Linked DNA regions of Notamacropus eugenii. The protein of the gene in region 1 interacts with the protein of each later gene in a biochemical or structural test. Links are inferred from orthologs where the notes say so. Each region holds a gene or a part of one and is shown in the gene's direction. Other genes may lie near its edges.

Evidence for each region.
Region 2: the proteins of SMAD3 (region 1) and PIN1 form a complex in vitro, tested with the Homo sapiens proteins (2 studies listed by BioGRID, with this or other methods). The link is inferred for Notamacropus eugenii from reciprocal best matches to the Homo sapiens genes SMAD3 and PIN1.
Region 3: the proteins of SMAD3 (region 1) and CEBPB form a complex in vitro, tested with the Homo sapiens proteins (2 studies listed by BioGRID and IntAct). The link is inferred for Notamacropus eugenii from reciprocal best matches to the Homo sapiens genes SMAD3 and CEBPB.
Region 4: the proteins of SMAD3 (region 1) and E3 ubiquitin-protein ligase NEDD4-like interact in a test that uses a peptide from one of them, tested with the Homo sapiens proteins (3 studies listed by BioGRID and IntAct, with this or other methods). The link is inferred for Notamacropus eugenii from reciprocal best matches to the Homo sapiens genes SMAD3 and NEDD4.

Annotation. Positions count from the first base shown.
Region 1 is NC_092872.1:129,940,763-129,948,284, forward strand, and holds the start of SMAD3 (mothers against decapentaplegic homolog 3), read left to right. Parts: upstream 1-4,521; 5' UTR 4,522-4,977; coding exon 4,978-5,183; intron 5,184-7,522. UniProt on the Homo sapiens protein: Receptor-regulated SMAD (R-SMAD) that is an intracellular signal transducer and transcriptional modulator activated by TGF-beta (transforming growth factor) and activin type 1 receptor kinases.
Region 2 is NC_092875.1:80,258,912-80,266,291, forward strand, and holds the start of PIN1 (peptidyl-prolyl cis-trans isomerase NIMA-interacting 1), read left to right. Parts: upstream 1-4,374; 5' UTR 4,375-4,441; coding exon 4,442-4,499; intron 4,500-6,133; coding exon 6,134-6,334; intron 6,335-7,380. UniProt on the Homo sapiens protein: Peptidyl-prolyl cis/trans isomerase (PPIase) that binds to and isomerizes specific phosphorylated Ser/Thr-Pro (pSer/Thr-Pro) motifs.
Region 3 is NC_092872.1:516,783,725-516,790,754, reverse strand, and holds CEBPB (CCAAT/enhancer-binding protein beta), read left to right. Parts: upstream 1-4,019; 5' UTR 4,020-4,616; coding exon 4,617-5,705; 3' UTR 5,706-6,671; downstream 6,672-7,030. UniProt on the Homo sapiens protein: Important transcription factor regulating the expression of genes involved in immune and inflammatory responses. Also plays a significant role in adipogenesis, as well as in the gluconeogenic pathway, liver regeneration, and hematopoiesis.
Region 4 is NC_092872.1:140,798,847-140,805,774, forward strand, and holds the start of E3 ubiquitin-protein ligase NEDD4-like, read left to right. Parts: upstream 1-3,917; 5' UTR 3,918-4,203; coding exon 4,204-4,248; intron 4,249-6,928. UniProt on the Homo sapiens protein: E3 ubiquitin-protein ligase which accepts ubiquitin from an E2 ubiquitin-conjugating enzyme in the form of a thioester and then directly transfers the ubiquitin to targeted substrates. Specifically ubiquitinates 'Lys-63' in target proteins.

The DNA of each region.
Region 1 (7,522 bases):
AACATTCACATTAAGGAGTCAGGAAGAGGTTGAGTGAGGAAACAGAAGGCACAATTGAAGCAGGAGGAAAAAAAATGGGAGGGTAGTCTTTGAAACCAAAGGAAGAAAAAATTAGCTCTAAAGCAGTCAAGGAAAAGGTCTATAAAGGTCACACAGGTAGCAAGTGTCTGAGGTGAGATTTGAACAGAGGTCCTCTGATTTCAGAGATAGTTCCCCTTCCATTATACCAGGAAAGCTGTAAAGGGTTATGTGACTAAGAGGTAATTGATGACTTTTGAGAAAAGAATTTTCCGTGAAATAGTGAGAGCAAAAGGGTTGTAAGGGGTTTAGGTGAAAATTAACTCAACAGGGTATGACCAAAACCAGGTAAACTTCATGTCACTATCCCCAGTGAGGAAGTCCATTTTGGCCTAAAATCTTCAGTCACTAATTCCCAGTAGCACAGGCTAGCAGTCAATGACCTTGTTTTAGATCACCAACTTTAGGTATTTAAAAGATTATACAACTGGAAGGGACCTTAAGATCATTTCATCTACCTCTTTTAACCCACAGAAGAGGAAACTCAAGGCCCAGAAGAGTAAGGCATGCATATAGAGCAAACAAGGAAGACCCAGGCACACTTTAGTGTCTGTACAAGATTATTTTTTTTCTATGCAGCATGGCTGATATGAAAATGTGTTTAATAAGAATGTATGTGTAGAACCCATATAAGATTGCATGCTTTTTGGGGAAGGAAGGGGAGAAAATTTAAAACTTATGGAAGTGATCATTAAAAACTGAAAACAAATAAATAAATTTGAAAAAAATTTACTATTTTATATCTCCTTTTTACAGTTTGTACACAAATGATACAAGGTCTAGTTATAAATATGTAATTTTTAAAACAAAATTTAATTTTAAAATTGTTGGTTTTGTTTCTTTAGGTTGTATGATGAATTTTTAAAAGTTTTTTTAAGTGAGTCCAATAACATTCAAAAAAATGTTAGCCTTAAAAACACAATAAAAGCCCCAGGTGCATGTCCTAGTTAAATGGGCTACTCATACATAGCTGATCTGTAGAGAGTCTACTGAGTCTCAGGCTGGTGATCTTTTACTGTATACATTTCCTCCTCATCTATAAGATGAGGAGCTTGTTTTAAATGCTCTCTACCACGCCTTCCAATTCTAACATTTCCTGTTTCTTCTCTTTCTTATGGATGTACATCTTCTCACATCCATGGCATCCATAGTGATACGCTAATAATAACTAATAGTTAAAATTGATATAGTGCTTACTATATGGCAGGCATTATGCTAAGAACTTTACAGTCATCTCATTTGGTCCTCAGAGTCAACACTGCAAGGTTCGTACTATCCTTATCCCTATTCTACAGATGAGGAAATTGAGGCAAACAGACATGAAGTGGCATGCCTACAGTCACACAACTAGTAAGTGTCCGAATTTTATTTTGAACTCAGGTCTTCCTGACTCCAGGCCTAGGACTCTATCCACCGAATCACCTAGCTAGCCCTAGAGATCAAAGATGGAATCTAACTTGATTTCTAGCCCAGGGGTGGGAACTTCAAGGCCACATGTGGCCCTCTGGGTCTTCAAGGGAGTACCTTTGACTGAATACAAACTTCACAGAACAATTCCCCTTAATAAAAGGATTTGTTCTGCAAAACTTGGACTCAGTCAAAGGAACCCAAGGACCTAGAAAGTCACATGTGGTCTCAAGGCCACAGGTTCCCCACTCCTGAGCTAGCCTGACCCTAAGCACAGAGCTAATATGAGTCAGACAAAAATGTTAATGGATGATATTAACCTGTTCTCGGGACAAACCTGAGGCTTCCAGAGACTTCTTCTTTAGGGCCCTCAATCATCATGGGCCAAATACCACCTGTAGGTCTCATGGCTAGAGTTTCTTGATTTCTTCTCAACAGCCAAACAAATCTGTTGCCTCTTCCTGCAAATATGACTTACACATTCCCACTTGTCTTGGCTTATGCCTTCCTCCATGCTGTAATGTCCTTTCCTTGTGCCTCTTGGATTCCTTTTCATTCTTTAAAACTCAGCTTGAGTGTCATCTTCCATCCACAAAGCTGTCTCAGGTAAGAGTGATCTCCCTCCTTTCTCTGAACTTCAGCAACTCCCATTTGTCTGTAACACTCATCGGTCCTGTATCATAAAGTACAGTGACTTTCACAAATGTGCTTACTAAATGCTTTTTCCATTCATTTGTTAGCTGTCTTCATATGGATATCCTTTGTCTCCCTAACGAGATTGCCTGTTCCTAGAAGAAAGGACCCACATGTGGGACATTTTTGGATACCTCCTGGAACTTGAGCGCAGGGCTCACTCTTGCATTTCATGCTTAATCAATGTCTTTCCCTTCCCCCCACAAGTATTTATTATGTGAATTTATTTTATTAGAACATTGTTTGTTCAATTAATGTTACTGTGAATAATGGCCAATTAAAAGGTGGAAACTGAGGTACATGGCTATTTTAGTGTTTTTGCCAACCGCATGGAGATGTTTTTTTGGCTGCTTGTTTCATGGCTAAATTCCTATGTTACAATGTTGACACTGGATTGAACTGAGGGATAAACATGAAACAATATTAACAGTTTCACTACATTTACTGCTTTTGCAAATGCTTTCCTCAGGCAATCAATTTCATTCTCACACAGCCTGGAGGCAGGGTTTATTATCCCCATTTTGCAGACTGGGAAAACCAAGGGTTGGAGAATAGATTTTCAGAAATTCATGTGGTTTTAGAGCTGGGACACACTTTGAAGATTATCTAACCCAACTCCCTCATTTTATAGATGTGAAAACTGAGTTTATCCAAGGCCAAGAGTACAATTTAGTCCTAGGAGTAGAAACCCAGTTGTTCTGACCTCTAGCTCAGGACTTTCCCCCCACTAAACCACAGCTGGGGCAGTGTTGACGTTAGGAAAGAGCTGAGAGTAGAGAGAAATAACCCAGAGCAACAGTAGCCTAACTAACAAGCATGTGTTAAGTCATCCACCGTGAGACCTCAGGAACCCCTGGAGCTGGTTAGCTGGCTATGTGGATTCTGCTCTCCTCCAGGCTTCGTGGCTCTGCACCCTCTTCAGGTTTCCTAGATAACTTCTCCCCCCCCCCCCCCCCAAGGATTTCCTGCTATAAAAAACATGCAAAGGCACTTGATGTGTTTGTGTGTGGGAGTTGATGGGGGGGGGGGCAGTCAGGGGGAAGCCAAGGAGACTAGGGTGCAATCTCAAGTCTATGCTTTTAATTTTGAACCTTGAATTCTGTGCTCCAGATCTTCTTCTATCAATTTCTTGTTCCCTTTAGCGTTGTCTTTCCAGTTCTCTGTTCATTTCTCATTTAATATAACTCTGAAAACCTAAATTTCCAGGGATTTCCCTCCCTAGATCTGGACACACGCTACTTTGGGACTCAAAACTCAAGAGCACTGACTTTGGAGTCAAAGGGACTGGATTCTAAACTCAGCTGGACTTGGTTGTTAGACCTTGAGCAAATTACTATCTTTCCGGGACCCTCAGTTTCCTACTCTGTAAACCCAAAAGACTTGGATGATTTCCAAGGTCCTTCAAGGTCTCACCCATTCAATTTAGACAGGTAAAAAGTGTAAGCATATACCTCTGTTTTCTGACTGCTCCATCCTAATTCCCACCTTTGAGGGATCTTTGAGACTCTGGGGATTTAAAATCAGGTCTCGAAGGGCAGATCGCAGTGCCACCTCTCCCCCATTTTTCTCGCGCCGCCCCCCCCCCCCCAACAAAACAAAACAGTTCGAAACGCTGGCTACATTTTACAGAGAATAAAAGAGAAATAGCTCGAACACAACTAGACTGCTTTAACTGGAGTAATGAGGGTCTGTCCGTGGGTCTGCTTTGGGGGACAGGAGGACAGGGCAGTCAGTGTGTGTGCGCAAATGCGCACCCCCGACACCCAGGTTCAGAAGGACCCTAGAGCGTTCTTCAACCGTAAGGACGCAACTTTAAAAACAAAAGTTTTCTCAAGTTGGTTCTCCCTGGGAAAGTAAAGGGGCCACGGTGCAGCCCCCGCTTTTTGTCCATTCTCCTCCGTTTCTCGGGGAGCTCCTGCATGTCATCAGGTGGCCCAAGAGCGAGGGACGTTGCAGGAAAAAGCAAGGGGGAAGCTGTGGGGGTGCGCAGGCTACGGCTTTCCCTGGGGAGAGCCGCCCCGCAGCACCCACGCCCACGGGGGGGGGGGGTGTTTGGCGTGGGCCCCAGGGCTGATCTCTTTCCTCTGGGAGCAGGGGGCGGAGCGGGCGCCACCGCGGAGGCCAGCCTGGAGTGCGGGCTGGGGGGCACGGAGGAAGGACGACGGGGCGGCGCGTTTGGGGGCGGCGAGGAGGGAGCCCCGGCGGGCGAGGGGGCGGTGACAGGCGCTTGGAAGGGAGGCTGCACGCCGATTTGCATGAGAGACAGACTGGGATCGGGGCGGGAGCCTGAGCGCACACACCGAGGCCTGGAGGGAAGTAGGGGAAGGGGCGGGAGGGGGCGAAAGGAATCGGGGAGCGCGGGGGGAGGCCGCGAAGGCGGAGGGATCCGTACATCCCGGCGAGCCCGCAGCGCAAACTTGGCTTCGTGGGCTGGCCTTTTCTTCCCAGAGGCGGCACCCAACAGCCGCCCCGTGCGGAAACACAAACTTTTCTCTGCTCTCGCCGCCGCCGTGCTTTCGTGGCCCTTTCGCACCCCCACCGCCCGGACTCTCGGCTCCCTTCGTCCCTCCTTCCCTCTTCCCCTTGAGTGCACCGGGAGGGGGAGGAGGAGGAGGGCGGCGGAGCCGAGGCCACCGCGGGCCCGGAGGTTGGCGGTGCCGAGGTCCCGGAGGAAAGTTCGCCGGGAGTCCGGCAGGGAGTTGGAGCGGAGTTTGGCCGGCCGCGGCCGGGCTCCCAGCCTTCTCTGTGTGCCTGCCTGCCTCCCCCTTCGGGGGGAGCCCCCTTCTGCCCCCCTCCACCATGTCTTCCATCCTGCCCTTCACCCCCCCGATCGTAAAGCGCCTACTGGGCTGGAAAAAAGGCGAGCAGAACGGGCAGGAGGAGAAGTGGTGCGAAAAGGCGGTGAAGAGCCTGGTGAAGAAGCTCAAGAAGACGGGGCAGCTGGATGAGCTGGAGAAGGCGATCACCACCCAGAACATCAACACCAAATGCATCACCATCCCCAGGTGAGGACGGGGTGCCCGCGCCGGAGCGGGAGCAGGGCACGGGCACCAGCACTGGCACGGGCGGCGGCTGCTTCTCACTGCCGGGCCTGGCCCGGCTGTGTGTGTTTGAAACGGGGAAAAGTGGGCGCGATCGAGGGCTCGGCGGCGAGTGTGAGTGTGTGTGTGCGTGTGTGTGTGTGTGTGTGTGTGTCTGTGTGTCTGTGTGTGTGTATGTGTCTGGGCAGGAGGGGGGGCGGGGGCAAGGTACCCAAACAAAACCTTTACAAAGATGGAAACTCTAGGATTTCCACGCGGCCCAGACCAGCCCGGGAGGGAGGAATTGGGGGACCAGTGGCGGGCGAGATGGACTGGGGTCCTGGATGGCTTGTGGAGCGTGGGGCTTTCTCTCCCGGGTGGCAGGAGGGCGGGGGTGGGTGCGTGCGGGCTGGAAGTTTGTTTGGGGCTCCGGCTTTGTTTCGCGCCCCTCCCCTCCGCAGCAGCGCTGAGCGATCCCGGCCTCGGCTCCCCGTCCTAGTAGAAGTGGTTCTGTCCGTCGGTCTGTCTCTTCCTCCCCTCATTTTTCTTTCCCTTCCGTCTTTTCTTCCCCTCTCCGCCGGCTCCCTCCCCCCCTCCCCCCAGGAATGCAGTCCGCACAGCGAAGGGAGGGCCTCCCCGGGCTGGGGTTGTGGGTGAGAAGCCTGGCCCCGTGTGATTGACAGATTCCTTCTCTTTCGCTCTCTTTGCATTTGGGATTCGTTTTTTTCAGGAGTATTTTTAGATTCAGTCCTGCCAGTTTGTGCCCTCCCCACCCCCCACACCCCCTCCGCTCCTGCACACGTACGGCTCAGATTATAATGCACTGACTTTCTAGAAGAAGGGAATACTTAGTATTGAACTTGTTTCTTTCTCTCCCCAAACTCTCCGCACTCACAGGGAAGACCAAGGGGCACCGGCAGTAGCCAGTCCTCGGGAGGGTGGTGTCTGTGTTTCTTTTTTTTTTTTTTTAAGTAGGATTCAGGGTGATGCAGAACTGTTTAGCACCCTGTGGAAGTGGAGTAGTTCTGATGACAAAGATGCCTACAAAAGCAGGCCTCAGCCAGTCTCATGCATTCCTACGGTGTCTTTATTTCTAAAGCACCTTCCCATCTGTTTATTCTCTACTATGCTCACAGCATCCCTAGGAGGGGAAGATGGGGAGGGTTTCACAGATGGCTTATAGAAAGGGTCAGTGACTTGCTCTGACTCCCTTGAGGCTGAACTCAGTGTATTTATTTTGGTAAATTGGAGGGGGAGGGTGGGTGGAGGTGGAGGAAGAATTCAAAGAGAAGGGAGCCTTTTACCCACTGCCTCTCCATCCCCTTTCTAGGGTCCATTCTGTTCTGAAGGAACTCTGGGAATTTGCTGTTGACTGGGTCTCCCCAGGGCTTTGATTTAATCCAGGTTACCTGGGCTTCCTTGGGCTTGACCAGCAGAGGACTCCAGTGTCCACATCGGTTCAGGGCCACTCAGCCCCAAGGATGTATCCTCTCACACCACCACCTGCCTTGGAGCAGCTGTGAAGGAGAATCACAGTGCCTGGGTATTTATCCCAAGCTGTCTTAACACTGGGGTCAGCCTTCACAATGCTGCATCTGTTCATGAGAAGCAACCCTCATTTGGAAATACCGATGAAGTTCATACTTTGACTGTTTTTTTAGACAAATATAGTCAGTAAGGAGAGAAAGAGGATATACTGTCTGTAGACCTTAGGTCTAGGGGCCAGCAGTGATTGAATGAACAGGTAGGTATGGTTTGATAACAGGCAAAACCTGAGTTTCAGTCCCAGGTTCTGTTATCTCCAGGACTCCTGGGTAATTACTTCTCCAGGAAGATTGATGGTACTCACCCACTCACCTGATTAGGATGTGTCTAAGCTTCTGCTGTAAGTGTAGAGGCTGGAAGAGATGCTTACAAAATACTGTGTTTCTTAATTGAAGCATTAAGGATTCCTAGAAAGTAACAATTTATGTAGCTTGTTGTCATTGAACTTTTGGGATCTGCAACCACCCTCCCCTACTGATTTTCCCTTGCCACTGTGAGAAGTTATTACCTGACTAATACTTGCTGTCACAGACTCAGGAAAACCGCATATTGCAACTGACTATCTAAACAAGACTGTTACTGGGACATCAGGTGTCCCAATAATGGTTGTGGGCAGAAAATTAAAAATGGAGGTAATTGGCTACAGGCTTAATCATAGCAGCGTGTCTGCCATAGCCCTGCATTAACCTGAATCTGCATGCAACTTGTCAAATTGTCTAGGGCAGAGGGGTTCTTAATCTAGAGTCTATAACCTTTTTGGGGGAGGTGGGGGGCTGTAT
Region 2 (7,380 bases), on another chromosome or scaffold:
GGCTGATGAATTGAGAACAGAGGATTTTCCAAATGCAGGTAGAGATGGAGCCGAATTCCTATTTTCTTAATTTTCATATTTCAGAGCAATATTTCATTTCTTTCCCCCTTAGGTTAAATTTTGAATCTTGCCAGTGCTGTGGTTTTCCAATGAGTGGCCCCTGAGCCTCTTTTAGAAGGCCTCCAGTAAGGAAGAATCTCCTTCCTCCTGGAAATCCATTCTCCTTCTGGACAGCTCTTATCATTAGGAAATTTTTCCTGACATCAAAAGCCTACATCTGACTCTGGGAAACTTCCTCTCATTGCTCCATGTTTTGTCCTCTAGGGTCAAACAGAACAAATCTACTCCCTGGTAGCCCTTCAGCTACTTGAAGATTCTTATCATGTTCCACATAAATCTCCTTTCCTTCAGGCTAAGCATCCTTCAATTGATCCTCATATAGTATGATCTCAAGGCCCTTCAAAATTTTTGCTGCCTTACTTTGAACTTCCTCTGGCTTAGCAAGGTCCTTCCTAAAATGTAGCACCCAGAAATTAATACAATACTCTGGGGGCAACTAGGTGGCATGGTGGAGAGAGTGCTGGGCTTGAAGTCAGGAAGATGAGTTCAAATAAAGCATCAGACACTTACTAACTGGATGATCCTGTACAAATCACTTAACCATTGTCTGCCTCAGTTTCCACATCAGAAAAGGTGCTGTGCTCTATGAGCAAAGCAGAATTGAGACAGCACAAAGGAAACGTAGGATGTGCAAATTTGGAGTATCCACCCAAACATTCACATGGACTATCTGTGCCCAATCTGTAGAACAGCATTTCGAGCTTGTGTTGGTCTGATCAGCCACAGTCAGACACACTGAAACTTCACTTTATCATGGTGATGTCATTTTGGTTCTCCTCAAAAACAAAGGACAACAGCCAACCAACTAATCAGTCTCAGTTTTCTCAGATATAACATGGGATTGATAATTATAGCACCTATCTCCCAGGGTTGCTGTGAGAATCAAACAAGATAAGGTTTGTAAAGTACTTAGCACAGGGCTCCGGCACATGGTAGATGCTTAATAAATTCTTGTTTCTTTGTTTTCCTTCCTAGATGGAGTATAGCTATTGTGTATTATGATACAATAGGACTATCACCTCCCAGACATTATTACTCCTCAATGCAGCCTAAGATTGCATTAACTTTTTTGGGTGCCATATTATTACACTGTGGTCTTCTGTTAAATAAGTTTCAAGTTCCCTAAAACCCCTGATCTTTATCTGATGAAGTGTTGTTTAGCCCACCCTCTTCCCTACCCATGATATATTTATGAAGCTGATTTTTTTAAACTCAAGCATATTACTTTAAATTTTTATCTTCATCGAATCAGTCCAATACTCTAGCCAATCAAGATCTTTTTTGCATCCTCACTGTGTCATTCATTGTATTAGTCATCTCTCCCATCTTTGTGTCATCTGCAAATTTTATAAGCAGACCATCTATTCAAGTCATCAATAAAAACAGTACAGGATAGCAATACCACTACCAGACATATAGTCCTATGTCCTAAAAAGATGGAAGAAAGAAGAACAGGAGTTATGTGAATAAAAATATTTACAGTTCTTCTTGAAGTGTCAAAGCAATGGAAACTTAGGGGGTGTCCATTGACTGGGGAATGGCTGAATAAATTATGGTATATGAATGTAATAGAATAATATTGGACTGTAAGAAAAGCTGAAATGGATTGTTTCAGAGAACCTTGGGAAGATTTGTATGAACTGATTCAAAATAAGGTGAGTAGAATCAAAAAAGTAATTAATACAATGACTGCATCACAAAGAAAAAACAACTTTGAAAGACTTAAAAACTCAAATCAATGCAATGAACAACCATAACTCCCGAGGACTAATGAAGAAACATATCACCTCACCTTCTGACAGAGAAATGAGGAACTCAAGGTGTATAAATTTTTAAACATGACTAAAGTGGGAATTTCTTTTGCTTGGCTATGGATATGTTACAAAAGCTATGGATATTTTTTCCACTGGAAGGGGGAAGGTGCAAGGGAGAGAGAAGATGGAGATAAGATTCCCTCCTTACCCCCAAACAGAGGAGAAAATAAGGAAGGTCAGAAGGAATATAAATTAAGCAGAACAGCTTAGAAAGCTACATGTGAAATTATATAAAAAAAGAAGACATTCAGTTTCCTGTATAAACCTCTCTGTCCTTTATGAAGACAATCATTTTATTTGATGTTTGTTAAGTTCAGAATAAAAAATTTAAAACCCCATAAATTTTAAAAAGCACAAGGTTAAGTACAAATAAATCACTGGGACATTCCGCTGGAGACTTACTTCTGAATTGATACCCAGACATGAACTATTAATTCTTCTGGTCTGGCCTTTCAATCACTTTTTAATTCACCTAATTGTACTATTATGTATCCCATATCTTTCCATCTTTCCCACAGAAAACCATGAGAGATTTTGTGAGTATATGTGTACCACTTATGTATGTATGTATGTATATAATACACTTCTCAGTGTCTTGTTGAGGGTACGCAGAGAAGGAAACTCCTCTGCTTGGTTCTCAGTGACTAGGGCTACCTCCAAGATAACTGGTAACTGAGAGTCAGAATAGTTGCACTTTCACCATAGTCTATAAAAGTGATCTGTGAAATTGTTCAGTTCCTTCCTTTTCTTGCGCTTTCTTTGATCTTCCAAACTAAAATACAAGCAATAGGAGAAAAGAGCAACCTATAAGAAAAGCACATTACAAGCCTGAAATTGAAGATTCCTTAAGTTTAAAATTTGGGCATAGGAGGGAGATTTCCTCAATACTGTCCTGGAAGGCATAAGAGGACCGATAACATAGAGGCTCATCCTGCAAATAAAGTATTGAAGTCATTTGAGGAGGGTGGGAAGAGGTCTGGACCTCTTTAGTTCCACTATTATGAGCTGTGTGATCAGCACAGGTCCAATGTGAAGGGAGATTGTTCAACAGCACCCCCAAAGTGTTTTCATGAGTCTAACAGGTTATTTGAGTGATGTACGTTTCTCTGTTTGCTCATGGACCTCTGTGAGTCCTTTGCATCTTAGGCATTTTCTCTGGTGAGGGAAATCAAGTCTGTTGCATAACTTGTGTTTGAGTGCGAGTTGGAAACTTTGCCAATCAATTAGCATTTATTGAGCTCCTACTATATGCCAGACACTGTGCTAAGTGCTGGAGGAAAAACAGTGCTTATTCCTAAGGAGCTTACAGTCTGATGAGAGAAACAATGTACAAATAACTGTACAAATGAGACATTTGGGGAAACTAAGAGGGAGAACTCTGCCTAAGCTTTATTTTAGAGATTTACCTGGAGAACTCCAAGTTAAGGTATATCAAGGCAAAGAGAGAAATGGACTACGGAGAGTCAGTTCCATAGGATCAAATCTAGTAGAGTGAGCCCAGAAACTTTGAGAGAGCTTCTTGACCACATATCATATCTCAGTGTTTAACACTGCCCTGCTCACTAAACAAATGACTGTGAAGAAAATAGAGCCAGAAAAGACCTGAAGTGCAAAGGAGAAGACTGGGGAGGACAAAGCAGAAGACTGGGCAGAGGCAAAGGCTGGGCAAAGGACAGGACAAGAAAATGGGGATAACCAGAGGAATGCTAGGCATGATCTGGGTGAGGTGCAGACAAAAGGCTGGCCGAGGATAGGGCAAAACCCGGGCAAAGGATAAGGACTAGCAGGTAACCGGACAAGAGCTGGGCAGAGGGCCTGATAAGAACTGGACGGGAACTGGGGAGAGGCAAGATAAGGACTCTGAAGAAGGCTGGTTAAAGTCCAGTAGAGGGCTGAACAAGGATCGAGCAGAGAGCTGGGCAGAGGGCTGCGCCTCCCACTTCTCTGAATGGAACTGAGCCCAGGATGCGGGTCCCGAGCCTGAGCAAAACCATGGCAACGAGGTAACATAGCAACGCGCCCAGAGCATCAGGCCTCCGGTTCCTCTGGGGCTCCAATTTCCCCGCCCTTCTGGTGCTGCTTCCTTACCCGAAGGCCCAGAGAACTGTTGAGAAGGAGGGAATTACAGGTCCAGCAGCCAATCAGCGAGCGGCATTCTTTCCGAGAAGGAGGGGATGCCCTAAAGCTAGAAGCGGAAGTTAAGGGGTGGTCTTTCTATTTGTGACCAATGGCCATAATGAGGAGCGGCCTCTGTTCCTCATTCCACCACTTACGGAGCTGGGCTCGAAGAGGGGTGGGTTAGGGAACGCAGGGTCTGTGGGCGGAGTCTGAGTGACAAGAGGCAACGCCCCCGCGCCTTTCTGGCAGCAAGTGAGGAGGCCAGAGGTGGGGCCTTGCCGTGGGAACAGCCAATCAATGACACGGCCAGGGCCCGGTGCGGGAGGCGTTAAGCCAATCGGTGGGGGCGGCGGGGCGGAGGCGGAGCGGGTGCTGCGGCAGGAGGGAAGATGGCGGACGAAGAGAAGCTGCCGTCAGGCTGGGAGAAGCGCATGAGCCGCAGCTCAGGTGCCACGGGGTGGAGGGAGGGCGCGCTTGGGTCCGGGAGGAGAAGAATGAGTGCGGACACCCCGGGCTCGGGCCCTGCACCCCTTCCCCATCATCCCACGGCCTGCGGCCCTGTAAAGATAGCCCCGCGCGATTAGTTCTCCCCCACCCCCCAGCCCCGCCCCAGGAAATGAGGAGGCCAGGTAACGGGCCGGCCTTGGACCCCCGGCATGGGAACGGGGCTGGGCTCCCCGGGCCCCTTCGTGTCCTTCGCCCTTCCCCATCGAAGGAACCCCAGAACCTGTAAAGGCCCAGGGGCGATCAGTACCCCGTTCCCCCACATAAGAACCAAGGGGATCAGTGCTCTCCCCCACAGAAGGGGGATCGATTCTCTCCTCTCCGAGACCAGGGGTGAAGAGTGCTTTCCCCTCCCCCTCTCCACATAAGGCCCAAATGATCTTTGCTCCCCATCCCCCTGCCCCATATAAGGCCCACGGGGAACAGTATTTCCCTTCCCTCACCTTAGGAGGGTCTGTGCTCCCCTCCCCAAGACCCAGTGATGAGTGCTCTGCCCCCACGTAAGGCCTACGAGAGCAGTGCTCTTCACCCTCCCCCAGCTCCCCTCCCTCCAGCTTCCCTCCCCCCATATAAGGCTCAGGGGGATCAGTGCTGCCCTCCCCAAGACCAAGGGGGATGAGTAGTCTCTCCTAAGTCCGAGGACAGGTGATCAATGCTTCTCATCCTTCTACCCCACATAAAGCCCAGGGTTATCACTGCTCCAACCTCCCCCCACATAAGGCCCTGGGTAACCAGTGCTCCATCTCCCCCCCACATAAGGTCCACATGAGTGATCAATGCTCCCAGCATAAAGACTAGAGGGATTAGTACTCCTCATTCCCCTCCCTTCCTCGCCCACACACATACGGACCAGGGTGATCAGTGCTTCCCACCCTACATAAAGCCCAGGGTTACGGGTGCTCTCCACCACCCTGTCCCATGTAAGGCCCAGGATGATCAGGGGTGCTCCCCTCACGTAAGGCCCAGGGTGATCCCTGCTTCCTTTTGCCATAAGGCCTAAAGTGTTTGGTGTTCCACCCCCATGTAAAGCCCAAGGTGATTGATGTTCCTCACTCCAATATGTAAGGCCCAAAGGGTTAGTATTCACCCCATCCACATAAAGCCTAAGGTGATCAGTGTCCCTCCTCCCATTCCACAAAAAGCCAAAAATGACCCTATGCTCTCATCCCATTCCCTTCAACGCCCAGGGTGACTAATGCTTTCTCTCCTTCCTCCACCCCACTCAAGGCCCAGAGTGACTGGTACTTTCTCTACTCCTCCCCCCTCAGTGTCTAGAGTGACCCAGCCTCTTCTGTGGCTCTGGATGACAGGTGCTCACCCTGTTCTGCCTTGCCCCTTTTATGGTTCAGGGTCATCCCACCCTGTACTTCCCAAGACCCAGGATGACCAGTGGCTTCTGTTGCTTCTATGGCCCAGGGTAACCAGTGCTTTCCTACCTGTCTGCCTTGTATGACTTAGGGTGACCTGTATGCCCTCTGTTTCACCTCAGCCTCAGTGTGTACCCCTATCCTCCCCACTTTCTAAGTGTGTAAAGCCCAATGTAACGTGTGCTACACATTCCTGTTCTGTCTCTGTAGGACGAGTCTATTACTTCAACCACATCACCAATGCCAGCCAGTGGGAGCGTCCAAGCAGTGTGGGCAAGAATGGTCAAGGTGAACCTGCTAAGGTCCGATGCTCACACCTGCTGGTGAAACACAGCCAGTCTCGGAGGCCCTCATCCTGGCGGCAGGAGAAGATCACTCGGAGCAAAGAGGAGGCGTTGGAGCTGATCAATGGCAAGTACTGGGTGGGAGGAGCCTGGGGGGAGACAAAGGGGAACTGGGTCCAGAGCCCAAGCCAGCCTTGGATATGGAATGGGTTGCAGTACCTGGAAAGGAGCACATGTGCCCAGGGCCTTGGTTTGGATTTACTGATGTGGCTTAAGGACAGAACTCTCCCTTTTCCTCTGCTCCCTGACCTCTGTAACACCAAGATGGTCTTTTTGTAACTTTTATTGTCAATGTGTATTAATACCATTTGTTAAAAATAAAACTGATCCAAAAAGTGTCAACCCATGGTCCGTAACTCATCCTCCTTCATACTGCCGTTTAACCGTTAGCATCTTTATAGCAGATAACCTGATGCCAATCTCTCCCTCCCTCCCTTTTTCTAAAAGACCCTGACCAGATGCTGATTCCCTTATGCTTAGCCTACCCTGGGGAAGGAACTCTTTATCTCCAGGTGGGGGCAATGTCCTTTGTAGGCCCCATTTCTTGCTGCAACAAACATTTACAAGGTACCTGTTATGCCTAGCACCAGTGCTATCCTCCTGCCTTGCCCCAAGTTAGGAAGAAGGAAGAGGAAGGTGGGGTACAATCCTAGCCTTACAGAACTTAAGGGAAGCTAGTAAGGAGAAACAAAATTAAAGCACAGAAAGTGGTTTAACATCATGAGGCCACCATTGCCTAAAATGTGGGGCAGACACTGAGTTTCACTGTCCAGGTTCAGAAGAAGAGAGCTTCGTGAACTTGGGATGGGGTTCATGGAAGAGGGTGGGTAGGATTTTAATGAATTAATGGAAGAGGGCAGTCCAGGTGAGAGGAATGACTTGAGCTAAGTTATAGAGATGGGAATGCAGAAGATACGTTTGGAAGGCATTGAAGGAACTGGCATGTGTGTTGGAGAATTCTAGAAGAAAGGCTAAACAAAATTGGGACCAGTTATTGGAAGGCATTGGATGCCAGACTAAAGAGTTATGATTTTATTGTTTAAACAGTGGGAGCCATTGAAGGTTTTGGAGTAGAGGAGGAATGACTTTACCATATTGCTGCATTAGAATTAT
Region 3 (7,030 bases), about 390 Mb from region 1:
TGGACTTCAGTTCCAGGACCATGTGTGACCATGGGCAAGTCATTTCTCTTTTCTGGGGCATATTTTCCTTCTCTTTAAGATCAGGGAATCAGTGTATGTCCAATAACTGGGAGATGTATGAATAAATCGAAGGATATGAATGCAATGAAATGAGATGTAACTGCACCATAAAAATGATAATTATTAGGAATGTGAAGAAATATGGGAAGAAATAAAATGATGTAAAGTGAGGGGAACAGAATCATAAGAAATATATAATGAATCATAAGAAATGCATAAATATATGACCACTACATAAAAAAATTATGGCAACCAAATAAAAAATGTACAGAATAAAAAAAAAGATAAAAAAGAAACATGAAAGCAAAAGGAATAGTTTTATTTTGTTAAATTAATGTGCATATTTTAAAGACCAATGTAAGCAACTTGGACTTTGTAATTTACAAAAGATTTTCATATAGAGTATTTCATTTGACCCTCAAAACTATATGAGTTCAGCAGGTATCAGAAAAATGCTAGCTTCTCTAGGGTACAGACTGCTTCATTTTTGTCTTTTCATTCTCAGTGCCTTGCATGGTTATCTGCCATCTAGTAGGCATTTAATAAATGTTGAATTGAATTGTTCTGTCTACAGTCATTTTATATTTTATTTGAATGTTTTTGTTAAGAGTTATGAAGTTTAGAATAAACTGAAAATTAAAAGAATAGAATGAAGGGATTGGACTAAGTTTTATCTTTCAGTCCTGACATTCTAGGTTCTGATAGTGTGTCTTGATGTCCCTTTCCATTTCTGACAATCTATAGTCTAAGATCCGTTATGACTGTATTATCTCACAAAGGGGTAATGTACATTCTGAAAATGTTGACTGGTGACCCGGCCCTGGACAAAACAGCAATAACACTGGCATTAGATTTTATTATTTACAGAGTGCTTTGCAGAGATTATTTTATTTGATCTTCATAATTAAATAAAACAAAACAGATATTTATTCCATTTCATGTTAAAATTGTTTATTCTGAATTTAAACACAAAAAAAAGAACATTTCTATATATACAGAACACAAAAAAGATTCTACATGAAACCATGAACCAATATTTCATACCACTTGCTTTTTAAAAATGAAAGTATATTATAAATTCTACATGTTTACTTTTAAAACTGTCTTGCTTGTCATTGTTTTCCCACACTACAGATGATCACACCAATGATTTGGCTGATGTCATAGAGCTAATGAGCAAGAACTCAAATCCAGGTTTTCTGATGCTCTCTCCATTATATGACATCTTTTTTGTGCAACAGTTTCAAGTTTTGTGTATTTTTTTTTAAGCTTCAGCCTCTTGCTTGGGTCAGGTGCAATTGTTCCATTTGTGGAACTCCAGGGATGGTTCTGACCTCTGGCCTCCCAACCTCTCTCAAGGCTGTGGAGAGGCCCTGAAAAATTTTCAGGCTCATCCAGTTGATCTGTCCCCAGGCTCCTGAGATGTCATTTTTCCACCAGCACTTACAGGGCAAAGATCACTGAAGGAGCAGATAAAATAGGGCTTGAGCAACATCTTGCAGGGGTGAAGGCCTGGGGGTGTTGGGTCAGGGATCACCAACAAATAAGCCTGTATGAATGTATGCATGTGAATGTCTGGGATATGTGTGTGTGGGGGGCGGGGAGGGAGCAGGGTTTGTGGGAGGGTTTTAGGAGGAGGGCAGAAGACACATTGGACAACTTGATCCTGGACTGATGGAGGGAGCTGTCCAAAACATGAACAATGCCAGGGCTATCAGGAAGTTCTAGCTTTGCCATCTAACCAGAATTCACTGGTGTCTCATGGACAATTCCAGCAAGGAAAATAAACTAGGCAGGAAACCAGTTGCAGAACCATAGAATGTCATCTAGAAGGGCTCTTAGAACATAAAAGGTACAAGGAACTATAGAACCTATGGTGTTAGAGCTGGGAGAAAACTTAGAAGTATCCCCCAACCCCATCTTGTACATAAAAAAAATGAGGTTCAGAGAGAAATGACTTACTCAGGGTCATATAGTGAGTACTAGTGGCACAGTTGACCAGAATCTGTATCTCCTGACTTCTAGTCCAATATGTACTGTTCCTCTCCACCTTCCCCCACAAAATGCTACCTTCATATTCTTAAGTAGTAAAGGAGACCAGCCTCCCCCAAGCAGGCCTGTCACATACTCTGAATGGCAAGTTATTTAGTAGAGGCTTCCAGAAAAGACCTTCTTTCCAACTAGAGGAATAGTCTAAGATGAAAGAAATGAAACCAGTGATGAGTCAAAGTCTCCTCTGTGACTGTCTACTCTTTTCTGTGGCCCAAGTCATTGAACCAGGATAGGTTCTGGGCAGTGGGAATTTCATTCCTGTTCCAGGTTAGAAGAGGAATTAGGAGAGGAAAGTTGCCCTATTCTTTCTAGTTACCTAGGAGTTCTGTGGGGTACAGGGCCAGGGGATAATGGGTACCATTTCTATTTTCAAGAGGGCTTGGAAGAAACAGGGGCAGTGTGAGTCAAATAATTTCTTGAACTCCCCAGATTTAAGACAGAAGGCATTCAGTGGCAGGTAAATAGAATCCAGGGGTCTTCTTCCACTTTAGGGGAATCATGGCTTCTTTCCTATTCTTTGCTAGCCTCTGGTCTCTTTTCTCCCTTGGGAAGTGCTGAGACCTTCCAAGTTAACCTTTCTCAGAAACAAGTCTTTCTTTCCCTGTGTTCACTTTCCTCCAGGTAGGCTGGCCAGGCTAGTTGTAAGGGGAGCATGTGTGAGGAATAATATTAATTTGAACCTGGAAGGGGCTTGAGGGCAGCTAGTACAAATCTCTCATTTTACAATAGAAGAAACTGAGGACCTGGAAGTTGCTGTGGTAGAAGGGAAAGATCATTGGGTCTGGAGCCAGAATATCTGAGTTCAAGTCCCATAAGTCTCAGTTTTCTTCTCTGCAAAATGAGGAAGCTGATCAAAGTGACCTATAATGTCCTTTCCAGCTCTTAATCTTAAAATCCTCTAACTTGCTGGTTAAGTGGTCGTCAGAACTAGAGTCCAGATCTTCATTCGTTCTCAGATTATTTGCCTTGTATAGAAGACCCAAGTCCAAAGGCTAACACTGAGGCTTGCTCCTGGTGGCAGATCACCACTCTTGGGGACAGCCAGTACATATAGAGCACCCTTACACCCCAAGTGGGTGCGCTGGACCAGACTTGCACATAAGCTCAAACTTACCGATGTCTACAATCTACTCCCAAGAACATCCCAAGAATCCACCCCCAAGAATCAAGTTTTCGGCTCCCCAGTGGACTGGAAAGAGTCTTGGGGGCTCCAGACACAAGTGAGGTGGTACAGGTAGAGGTAGAGGTGGAGAGAGAGAGGGAGGGGGAGAGAGAGAGAGAGAGAGAGAGAGAGAGAGAGAGAGAGAGAGAGAGAGAGAGAGAGAGAGAGAGAGAGAGAGAGAGAGAGAGAGAGAGAATTGACAGCTTGGAGGGAAGGAAACAAGGGCAAGTGCCCCGGCCTACAGGTGCATCGGGAGGTGGGGACAAAGCACCGCACAGAGCCAGAGCTGCCTCGGGTGGGATGGAGAAGCTCTGGAGGCAGGGCCAGATCGTGGCGGTGGGAAACTGGTTTCCCTGGCCCGGATTTCTGCCCCAGATCCTCTGCTAGCCCACTCTCCAGCAGGCAGGGGGTTAGGGGGCGGGGGGCGGGGTGGGGCAGGGAGGGGCGGGGAGTGCAAACCAGAGGAGAGCGAAAGGGAGGCAGGGCCGCAAGCAAAGACCCTCGGAGGAGTGGGAGGCTCGGAAATCCTCGGCCCCTTTCGAGAGGGAAACCTGGGGGTGGAGGTAAGATCTACACAGGGCTTAGATCTAGGAGACTGAGGAATGGTGGCGTGTGTGTGTGTGTGTGTGTGTGTGTGTGTGTGTGTGTGTGCGCGCGTTCTTTCCAAGGGGGCGGGGCCGCACCTCCCCCAGCCTCTCCCTTGGGATAGGAGCTGGGGCGCACGCGATCGCCTCACGCGTAGTCCGCAGGACCCCCAAAACGCGCATCGCTGGCTCGGCTTCCTTCTCGGGTTGCGGGGCCGGGTCGCGGCGCTAGGACTGCGGGGAGCTTTCGGTGGCGGTGGCGGCTGCAGGGGGAGCAGGGGAAGCGGCGGCCCGGCATGCGCGGCTTGGGGCAGGCTGCCAGCCGTGACGCAGCTATGGGCCGTTGCTAAGGGCCGCCTTTATAAATAACCGGCGAGCGAGAAACTTTAGCAAGTCACAGCCGCGCACGGGACCCGGAGGGACCAGATGGTCCGGAGCAGCCGCAGCCACAGCCACGGTAGCAGCGGCCACAGCAGCTCCAGCAGCCGCGGAAGCAGTGCCGAGCGCCGCAGAAGCCCACCCCAGCTCGGTGCTCCGGACCCCGGCAGCAGGGACAGCCGAGCCCCTGGGGATCCCAGAACGCCTGGCGCAGCTTGAGCTGAAAGCAGCCTCCGTCTCTGCTCCGGAGGATTGCAGCGGCCGGGGCAGAGGGGGGCCGCGAAAATCCTCAAGCCAAGCCCCCCGCCCCAGCCTGCTCCCTTCTCCCTCCCCCCCCTTTCTCCCTCCCCCTTCCCCTTCCTCTCTCCCCCTTTGCTTTCATGCAACGCCTGGTGTCCTGGGACCCAACATGCCTCCCTTTGCAGCCTCCGGCCTTTAAATCCATGGAAGTGGCGAACTTCTACTACGAGGCGGACTGTTTAGCTCCCTTCAAGCTGCACCCGCCCCGGCCCGGGGGCCGTTCTATGAGCGAGCTCAGCATCGGCGACCACGAAAGAGCCATAGACTTCAGCCCCTACCTGGATCCGCTGGGCGCCCAGCAGCCTCAGCAGCCGCCGCCGCCTCCCCCAGCAGCGGGGGGGAACTTCGAGCCGCCTCCTCCCGCCTCCTCCGCCGCCTCCGCCTCCTCCGCTCCCGCCTCCTCCGGCCACCCCCACGCGCACCCTCCTCATCCCCCCCACCACCACGATTTCCTTTCTGACCTCTTCGCGGACGACTACGCCAAAGGCAGCGGCTCCGTCTGCAAGAAGCCGCCGGGCCCAGACTACAGCTACCTGAGCCTGGGCCGCCTAGCTCAGCAGGGCGCGAGCAAAGGCGGCTTGCACCCTCCGGGCTGCTTCACGCCCCTTCAGCCGCCGCCGCCACTGCCACCGCCGGGGGCAGGCGAGCTCAAGGCCGAACCCGGTTTCGAACCGGTGGCGGACTCGGTGCCTTGCAAAAGAAAAGAGGACTCGGCGGCCGGGCCGGGCGGGGGCATGTCCGCCGGCTCGCCCTATGCCATGCGCTCCTACCTGGGCTACCAGTCGGTACCGAGCGGCAGTAGCGGCAACCTGTCCACGTCGTCTTCCTCTAGTCCCCCCGGGACCCCGAACCCGACGGAGAGCAAGGCCGGAGGCTGCTACCCGGGCGGCCCGACCCCGCTGCCAGCCAAGAGCAAGGCCAAGAAGAGCGTGGACAAGCACAGCGACGAGTACAAGATCCGCCGGGAGCGCAACAACATCGCGGTGCGTAAGAGTCGCGACAAAGCCAAGATGCGCAACTTGGAAACGCAGCACAAAGTGCTGGAGCTGACGGCGGAGAACGAGCGGCTGCAGAAGAAGGTGGAGCAGCTGTCCCGAGAGCTGAGCACGCTTAGGAACTTGTTCAAACAGCTGCCCGAGCCCTTGCTGGCCTCCTCCGGACACTGTTAGCCCAGCGGCCGGCCCTCTGGGGCCCCAGCCTCCGCCAGCGCGGGGAGGCCTCTCGCTCTTGTGGCCCGCGCCCCTCTAGGACACTTGGCCGGGGGGACTTGGGGTGATCGTATCTGGCCACCGCTGACCGCCACATCTGGAGACTGCTAGCCTCGGGGCTGTTTACTTCTGCTCCCGGGTGGGGCAGACCTAGCAGAGAGGAGAGAAAGGGCAGAGACTCGAAGATTTGGTGGGTGTTTGTGTGGGGAGAGGAGGAGAATGGTAGGTTGTTTTCGAGGCGGGCCGCCGGGGGTTGTTTTAGATTCTTGTTTGAGTGAGGGCCCTGCGGGGGCGGCACCATCGACCTCCGCTGTCCGCCAGTCCTCCCCGCCTTCCCCCCCTTGACTCTCCGTCACCCGAACAACCCCTTGTGAGAGCCTTCAAATATTCCCTTTCCCGTCAACCTCCGGCGACGTTTGAAAACTTGTGCGCCTTGCCTGGTTGACGAATTGGCTTTCTTGTTGGTAATTTTATTATTTTATATATATATATATATATATTTTCCCACCAACCAAATGTTCAGATCGGGGATCTCTGCGAATTTGTGGCATAGTGTTATTTAAAAACCCAGAAATTATGTGTATGTGTATATGCCCGTGTGTATATACACATACATGTGTATATACGACATGTGTATAGATACACACAGATCTAGCCGAGCGGAGCAGGGAGGGCGGCGGGCAGGCAAACAGAAAGTGAGTGATGCAATCTTTAAACATGGCTGGGAACGACTGTGTACACAACTGATGTAACCACGTGTAACTGTCAGTCATGGATTGAGTAATCTGTTAAAGATGTTCCTACGTTTTTTTATTATAAAGAATAATCTATTTCTATAAGGAAAAAGGCATCTGTATATTTTGGGATCTCTGCGTTTGAAGCATTAATAATGAACAATTTTAATAAACTTTTGCGTCTAGTAAAAGAGCCTTGGGGGGGCAGTGGTTTGCTTTTTGGAATTTTTTCCTTGAAAGTCTCCCCACCTCATCCCTCCCCCTCCTCTAAGGCCTTTGGGTTTGGGGGACTTTGAGATAGGTCTCCAGGAAGTGGTTGGAGGCAGCTGTTTTCAAGGACAGAAGCTTGCTGGAGGCTGGGCTTTGAATGACTCAGCAGAATTATGGTAGGAGCCCGGGTGACCCACGGGGCTGTGTGGAATTGGGTCTTGGGAGAGAAGTTCCCCTCTGCAGGGGGTCCCTTCGTCCTCAGAGCTTCCCCACTCTGGGGGGATTTGCTGGGGAGGGAGGTGTAGGAGAGAGGAAGGGGGAGAGAGACAGAGAGACAGAAAG
Region 4 (6,928 bases), about 11 Mb from region 1:
ACGTTCACTAGCTGTGCTGCGCAATTCACTTAACCTTTATTTCTCTCAGTTTCCTCAGCTACAAAATGCGAATAATATTAGCACTGATCTGTCAAGGTTGTTGTGAGGATAAAGAGAGATGATGCTTGTAAGACACCTTGTATTGTACCCATCCCAGGTGTCTTCATTCTTTAGACCTGCCAGCTCCCCTAAGCTCCATTCTATACACCTTCTCCCTTTCATAAACAAATTCATAAAAACCAAAATCTACACTTGCAGTTTTTACTTCACCTCCCCACTCTCTTCTCAACCCCTTGCAACCAGTTTTCAGACACCACATCTCAACGGAAAGGGATCTCTCTGAGGTTATCAGTGACCCACCTCTAGTGGCTAACTCTTGGGAGCCACTTCCTCATTCCTCTTCCTTTGTGACCCCTCAGCATCTTTTGACATCACTTACCATCCGCCCTCCTTCTAAATGTTTGTTCCTCCTCTGAGGTCCTTAACTCTTAGCTTTTCTCCCTGTTTGCTTCTCAGTCCCTTTTGTGGAATATTCATCTGTGTAGAGACCCTTAAATGTACCTATGCCCCCAATGCATTGTCCTGGTTCTGTAGCACCCTCTTGGTTTCAATTATTGTCTCAACAGCTGTATCCCAAATCAGCCCCCATCTTTCTTCTAATTGTAGTCTCCCGTCACAAACTACACTTCAAGGGATTAGGTAAGCACCCCAACTTGCAAAATCTTCCCACTTAATTTTAATTCTTTTCCAAATTTTCCAATTTTTGTTGAGCGTACCACTGACGACTTCAGACTCGCAAGTTCAACTCTCCTTCACTTTCTGTATTATAATTAATCTATAGCATGTCCCTTTCTCTCCACTCACATACACACCATCCTCGTTCAAGACCCTTATCAGTTATACCCTGGATTATTTCTTGTGTGTCAGTTATTTCAGTCATGGCCCCATTTGGAGTTTTCTTGGCAAAGATACTGGAATCGTTTGCTATTTTCTTCTCCAGCTTATTTTATAGATGAGGAAACGGAGGCAAACAGGGTTACGTGATTTGACCAGGGTTACAGAGTTAGAGGGTGGATATCTCTATTCAATCAAAGCATTTCAACAAGGTGCAATAAGAAATCTGTTTACATAGGTTTAACAATGTGGTCGTGCCCTGTGGGACTTATACACCAGAAGGCTAGTTTGGAGTCAGGCATTTGAGGATATAAAAGCTATGGGTAAAGTACTTTAAAAAAAAAATCACTTGCTGAGGTACAGATGGGGAAGAAGAAAACGATGGGGTTTCCCAGCCTCAGCTGATGAACTATAGCCTTTGAAAGCCACCAGCCACCCAGCCCCTCAGGGTTCTCTAGGGCCATTAGGGGAGATGGAGAAGCCTTGCTCTCAGGACCTAGCTTTCCAGCAAGAGTAGGGGTTGGCTGAGTAACTCTCAAGCAGGGGTTCTCAATCTTTTTTTCTGTTATGTACCACTTTAGCAGTCTGATGAAGATCCCTTCTCAGAATTTTTAGATGTGTAAAATAAAATACATAAGATACAAAGGAAATCAGAGGTTAAAAAAATAAAGATTCATTATTCCCCCCATCCAAGTTTACAAAATCTCCTGAAATCTATAAGGGTTTATGGAGCCCAGGTTAAGAACCACTGTTCTAAAGTGTATTTATGCCAACTCACAGTTAAAATCCCATACATCTTTTCATGTATGCTTGCCCTAGTCAAGAGCACCCATTCTCAGGCCCTGTCTCTTTGCTAGTCTGCTGTGCCCTCAGGTCCTTCTGGCCTGCCTGGCCTAGGCAGGGTTCTCCAAAACATTGGGCCCAAGGTAATTTCCCTAATTTGATGTACTCTGAAGGTGGCCTCACTGGTAAATTATTCTGATTTCAAGACTAGAAAGAAGCAGGAATAGTAAATGGGTAGGTGATATGACCATTCTCTAGCCTACTGACTTTTTAAAAAGCTTAACTGTAATTTGATCACTAAATGAATGCAAAAGCATTTATTAAGTGCTTAACTGTAGTAGTGTCAAGCTCTGTACTAAGTGCTGGGGATACAAATAAAAAAACACCGAAGTCCTGCAGCAGCTGTGGCCTTCTCACCCTGAACTTTTCTCTCCCATTCCCTCCATTTGGAAGAAAGGCCCAAGCCAGTCATCCTTTCTTGGAGGAATTCCTAAGATTTTCTGACCTCACTAGGTACTACCCCAACACCTTTCAGTCCCCTTTCATGTGTCTCTTCTCCCTTTAGAAAGTAAGCTCCTAGAAGGTGGTGACTATTTTTTGTTTGCGTTTCTATTCCCAGCACTTAGCACAATTCACAGACCACAGTAAGCACTTAATAAACGCTTGTAGAATATGACTAATGTGAAAATGTGTTTAATAAGAATGTATGTGTAGAACCCATATAAGATTGCACACTGTGTTGGGGAGGGGGGGAAAAGGAAGGGGGAAAAAAATTTAAAACTTATGGAGGTGATTGTTGAAAACTGAAAACAAATAAATTTTTTTTTAAAAAAGAAGAAAAAAATGCTTGTAGACTTGACCTAAAAGATTTTACATTCTAATGGTGGAAACGATGTACATAGTGGAGTGGTGGCGGCTGGACACTTTAATCTTAGAAAGTGTTCTTAGCGAGTGTGACCGGAGCAGAGTAGACAGACAAGTTCTCTGAACGATCACCAGTTTATGGTTCCAGAAATGGAACAGGGATGAGGAATGGGTGGCTCATGGAACATGGAGGTGAGAGATGGAGTTTTATCTTTCGATGTGTCGTTTTCCTCCACTTGTTAAATTCGAAGGTGGGATCACAGAACTACCATTTGTTAATTTGTCCAGACACGATAGGAGGTGGACCAAAGAGCTGACTTTTCCCCTTTGTGCCCTAGATATCTGGATCACCGCTTGTGTCGGGTAAAGCCTGGGGAAGGATCCGACGTTAAAGTGCAACATTGTGTATAATATACATAATTAACATATAAACACATGAAACGAGATAAAATAATATATAATTATATAATTCAAAATAATTATTTTGAAAATAATAAAAATATGGCATTGTTCTCTCCACCCTTGACTCAAAAGGATATAACTGGGAACCTTTTAGAAGTGTTTCTTTACAAACCACCAGAGGCTCAGAAATGGAAGTGAATTCAACGAGGAAAAACTGGTGTTAATCTGGGAGAGGGAGGTCACATGACCCACGACAGTTGGGAAGCCTGAGTTTAAATCCCAACTCCGTGGTACCCCAGGGCGCTCCGTAGTGGGGGGATAACAGGCTACTACAGAAGCCATGACCGGAACTGGGATGAGATCCGGGCAGGGGCGCGGGCTGGCGAAGCTGGGCTAAGGCCGGGGGCGCCCCCCAGCCCCCCGGGACACCCCCGCCCCCTTAGGGACCCCCCACCCCCCCGCGGCACCCCCTCCTCCCGGAACACCCCCCAGCTCCCTGAGGGACCCCCCACCCCACCGCGGTACCCCCTCCTCCCGGAACACCCCCCCGCTCCCTGAGGGACCCCCCACCCCACCGCGGCACCCCCTCCTCCCGGAACACCCCCCCGCTCCCTGAGGGACCCCCCACCCCACCGCGGCACCCCCTCCTCCCGGTACACCCCCCCGCTCCCTGAGGGACCCCCCACCCCACCGCGGCACCCCTCTCCTCTTGGGGCATTCCCCCGTCCCCGGGGCGCCCGCTACCCCTCCGTGACACCCCTGCCCCCCGGGACACCCCCGTCCCCCGCGGCTGCCCGGCCCGACAGTCTGCGCGAGGCAGAGCACCGGAGCGTCCGGCTCCGCCCCCAGCCCTGGACTGGCCGCCCCGAGGCCCGCAGCCGAGCCCCGTCATCCTGTACTTTGGGCGCTCTCGGGGGGCGGAGGTTCCAGCGGTTCCCACGCCCGCCCCGGCGAGTCGCACCCAGCCCTTCCGCAGACTTGGCTCCGCCCGGGCTTCGGGCCGGGGAAGGAAGCGCGCAGACCTCACCCCGCTCCCCTTACTCCCTCCCCGAGGCCCGAGGCCCCAGGCCCCAGGCCGCCCCGCTTCAGGCAGAAGGGGCCCCTTCTTCTTCTCCCCCGCGGCAGGGGGCGCTGCTGCAGCCTCTCCGCCCCCCGCCCCCCTTCTCGCTCCTCCTCCTCCCCTCTCCTACCTCCCTTCCCTTTCCCGCTACGATTCCGGGCCAGGGGTGAGGGAGTCGAGCTCTTCGGCCCCGCAGGGACATGGCAACTTCTCCGGCGGAGGTGTTCGGCCTTCTGGAGGATGAGGTAAGGAGACCCGCTGGTCCCTGTCATCCCCCGCCCCATCCCCCACCCGAGGGAGCTCGAGGCCGGGCTGGGACATCTCTCACCTCCCGGCCCCGGACTCGCAGGCTCGGCCGGGTGGGGAAGGGCGGGACCCGCGGAGAGCCGGCTCGTGAGAGTTAGAGAGGGCTGCTGGGGACCGAGCCCCCCCAGCCTAATCTGCACCCCCTTTCTAGCCGTGCAGAGTGGGGCCCGGGCGAGGGCCCGGGCAGTTCTCCCGCGTGCCGGCGGGGGCGGGGGAACCTGAGCCGGAGATCCGGGGATGTCTCGCGCCTCACCTGGAGCATCCCGGGCCGCAGCGGGCCCGGCCCGAGCCGGGAGACCTGGCCTGGGCGGGCTCGGCGCCCGGGCGCGGCCCCCGGCTCCTCGTGCTTTGTTTTCTTTACCCCGTTTGGGGCTCGGGCTTGGCCGAAGAGAGAATTTACTAACCAGAGCCAGTATAGAAAGCGTTCGGCCCCTCCTTTTTTTACTTAACTGAGATTAAACTGAACTGAAACTTGCTTCCTGACATGACGCTTCAGTGAAGCCCTGGTGGGTGACAGCTCCAGCAGATCTCTCTCCTCGGCCCCTCCGCGGTTTGGTCCGGCCTGCGTGGAGCCCGGGCTCCCGTTGGAAGTTCCCGCTGCGGTGATGCGGTTCCGTGAAGGCCAGTTAGGTTTCACTCCCCTTCCCAGAGCCAATGGAAACAATCTGCAACATTGTATACTCCCAAGGTGTGCCCCCTCGGCGGCGTCCGCGCGTTAGCAACTATGTAAACACAGCTGCAACATGTACGGGGCTGGTGGCTGAGGAGATCAGATCTCTTTCGGTAACGTTCTAATAGAGAACATATTTTGTATGCTTCTCAGCTGTTTATTGATATAATCTCTCCTATCTTCCCTTATGTAGATCCTTTATAAAACAATTTTTATGAGCATACTGGCTGGAGAATAAGCCTTGGAATCAAGAAAAACTGAGGTCAAGTGCTCTTTCTGACACTTATTGGGCAAATCACTTGAAGTATCCTAAGCAACTCTCTAAGGCCAGAAATTGGAGGGAAGGTACACACCTGCCTTGGCAGGAGTTTGTAATTGGAAGTTCCTTAGACCCATAAATCATAGATCCAGTCCCTATCCTTAGTAATATTGGTTTGGTGAGTCCTGATAATAAAGAACAGTGCCTTTCATTCCTTTTAAATATAATTTGATTAAAGGAGAATTACTTATTGGGAATGATTGAAGGCAAAAGGAGAAAGGGATGGCAGAGAATAAGATGGATAGAAGGTGACAAACATGAGCTTGGACAGATACCAGGACATAGTGAAGGATTGGCTGTGATCCATGGGGTCACAAAGAGTCGACACCACTGAACAACAATATTTTATTTCATCTGCTGGTTATGTATATATGCTGATAGAAGATAATTTCTGATGGAAATATATTCACTGTTATTCCTGTATGTACTAAACGGTTATGTATGTATGGTAAGTGCTAGATAATTGCTACATTAATTTTTGGCTAATATTTCAACAAGAAGAGAAAAACACTATGCCCTTCTGGCTCTAAAAAGTATTAGAAAGACTGTCTTGCTGCTAGTTCTATAGGACGGATACTTGCCTTAGGCATTTCTTAGGTAGACCTACACTGGTCTAGGCAGGCTTGGGACTCTCTGGGTTCTTCAGAGCCATATTCTGATGGTATGAATTTTTTACTCATTCTCCTTCTCTTACTATGTTCTAGATCTCTAGATTGGAAATCTCAGAAACAGAATAAGTCCTTGGCAAAATGTCTGAAAAACTTAACTCCCCTTTTCTAGTACTTCTTTTGTGCTGATTTGGTATCTCATTAGTGATATCTGCTTTTTTCTAGTTAGTTGCTTCCTCCCTCCAGCAATTAAAAAACCCCAAACTTGGAATATCTGGCCCTGTTCCAGGTGTCTGCCTCTGCATGCCTCCGTGGGTTAGCCAAGGCTAATTTAGTTTGCTCCCCATGCCTTTTACACCTCTCTAGCAGAGTTGGGCAGGGTAACCCATGGTCTCAGGCAATCATCAGTCAAGACCAGAAGTCTCAATTCTTGAATTTAAGACTGCAGACTCCACAACACATTTCATGTAATAGACAACCACCTGCATGTAGAGTTCACCCCAGTGGATAAACTGGAGGTCTGGCCTTTGCCCTGCCAAGATTCCAAATGCCTCTATTTGCTTTATGTCCCTTAATTACTGTATCCCAGGGAAAGAGAGAGATCTGACTGTGAACTTCCTCCTCTTTCCATTGTGCTGAGAGGAGTAAGAGATTAAGATTGAGGAAGGGGCTGCTTGCTTTTCTCTCTTTACCTAGTGATGGCAGTACCAGAACCAGTCTTTTCTCCAGTGTTGTAGACAACTTACAGGAAGCCATGGTGACTCTTTGTTTTAGTAGTACCAACACTTCAGCCTCCTCTTGTGTGATTGTCTTAAAATGGCTTTGAAGATTGCTTTTCTTTTCTTTTTTAAGAAAAAAGGACTTCTTATTCAATGTGATTTAAAAAAATTATTTCAGTTTGAAATGCTGATGAAGGGGTTGTACTTGTCTAGTTGAACTCTAAGGAGTGATGGGGTAGGAGGGACTGATCTGTAAAGGGAAAGAAGGGCTGCAGCTGACCCTTGACCCTAGTAACTCATCCA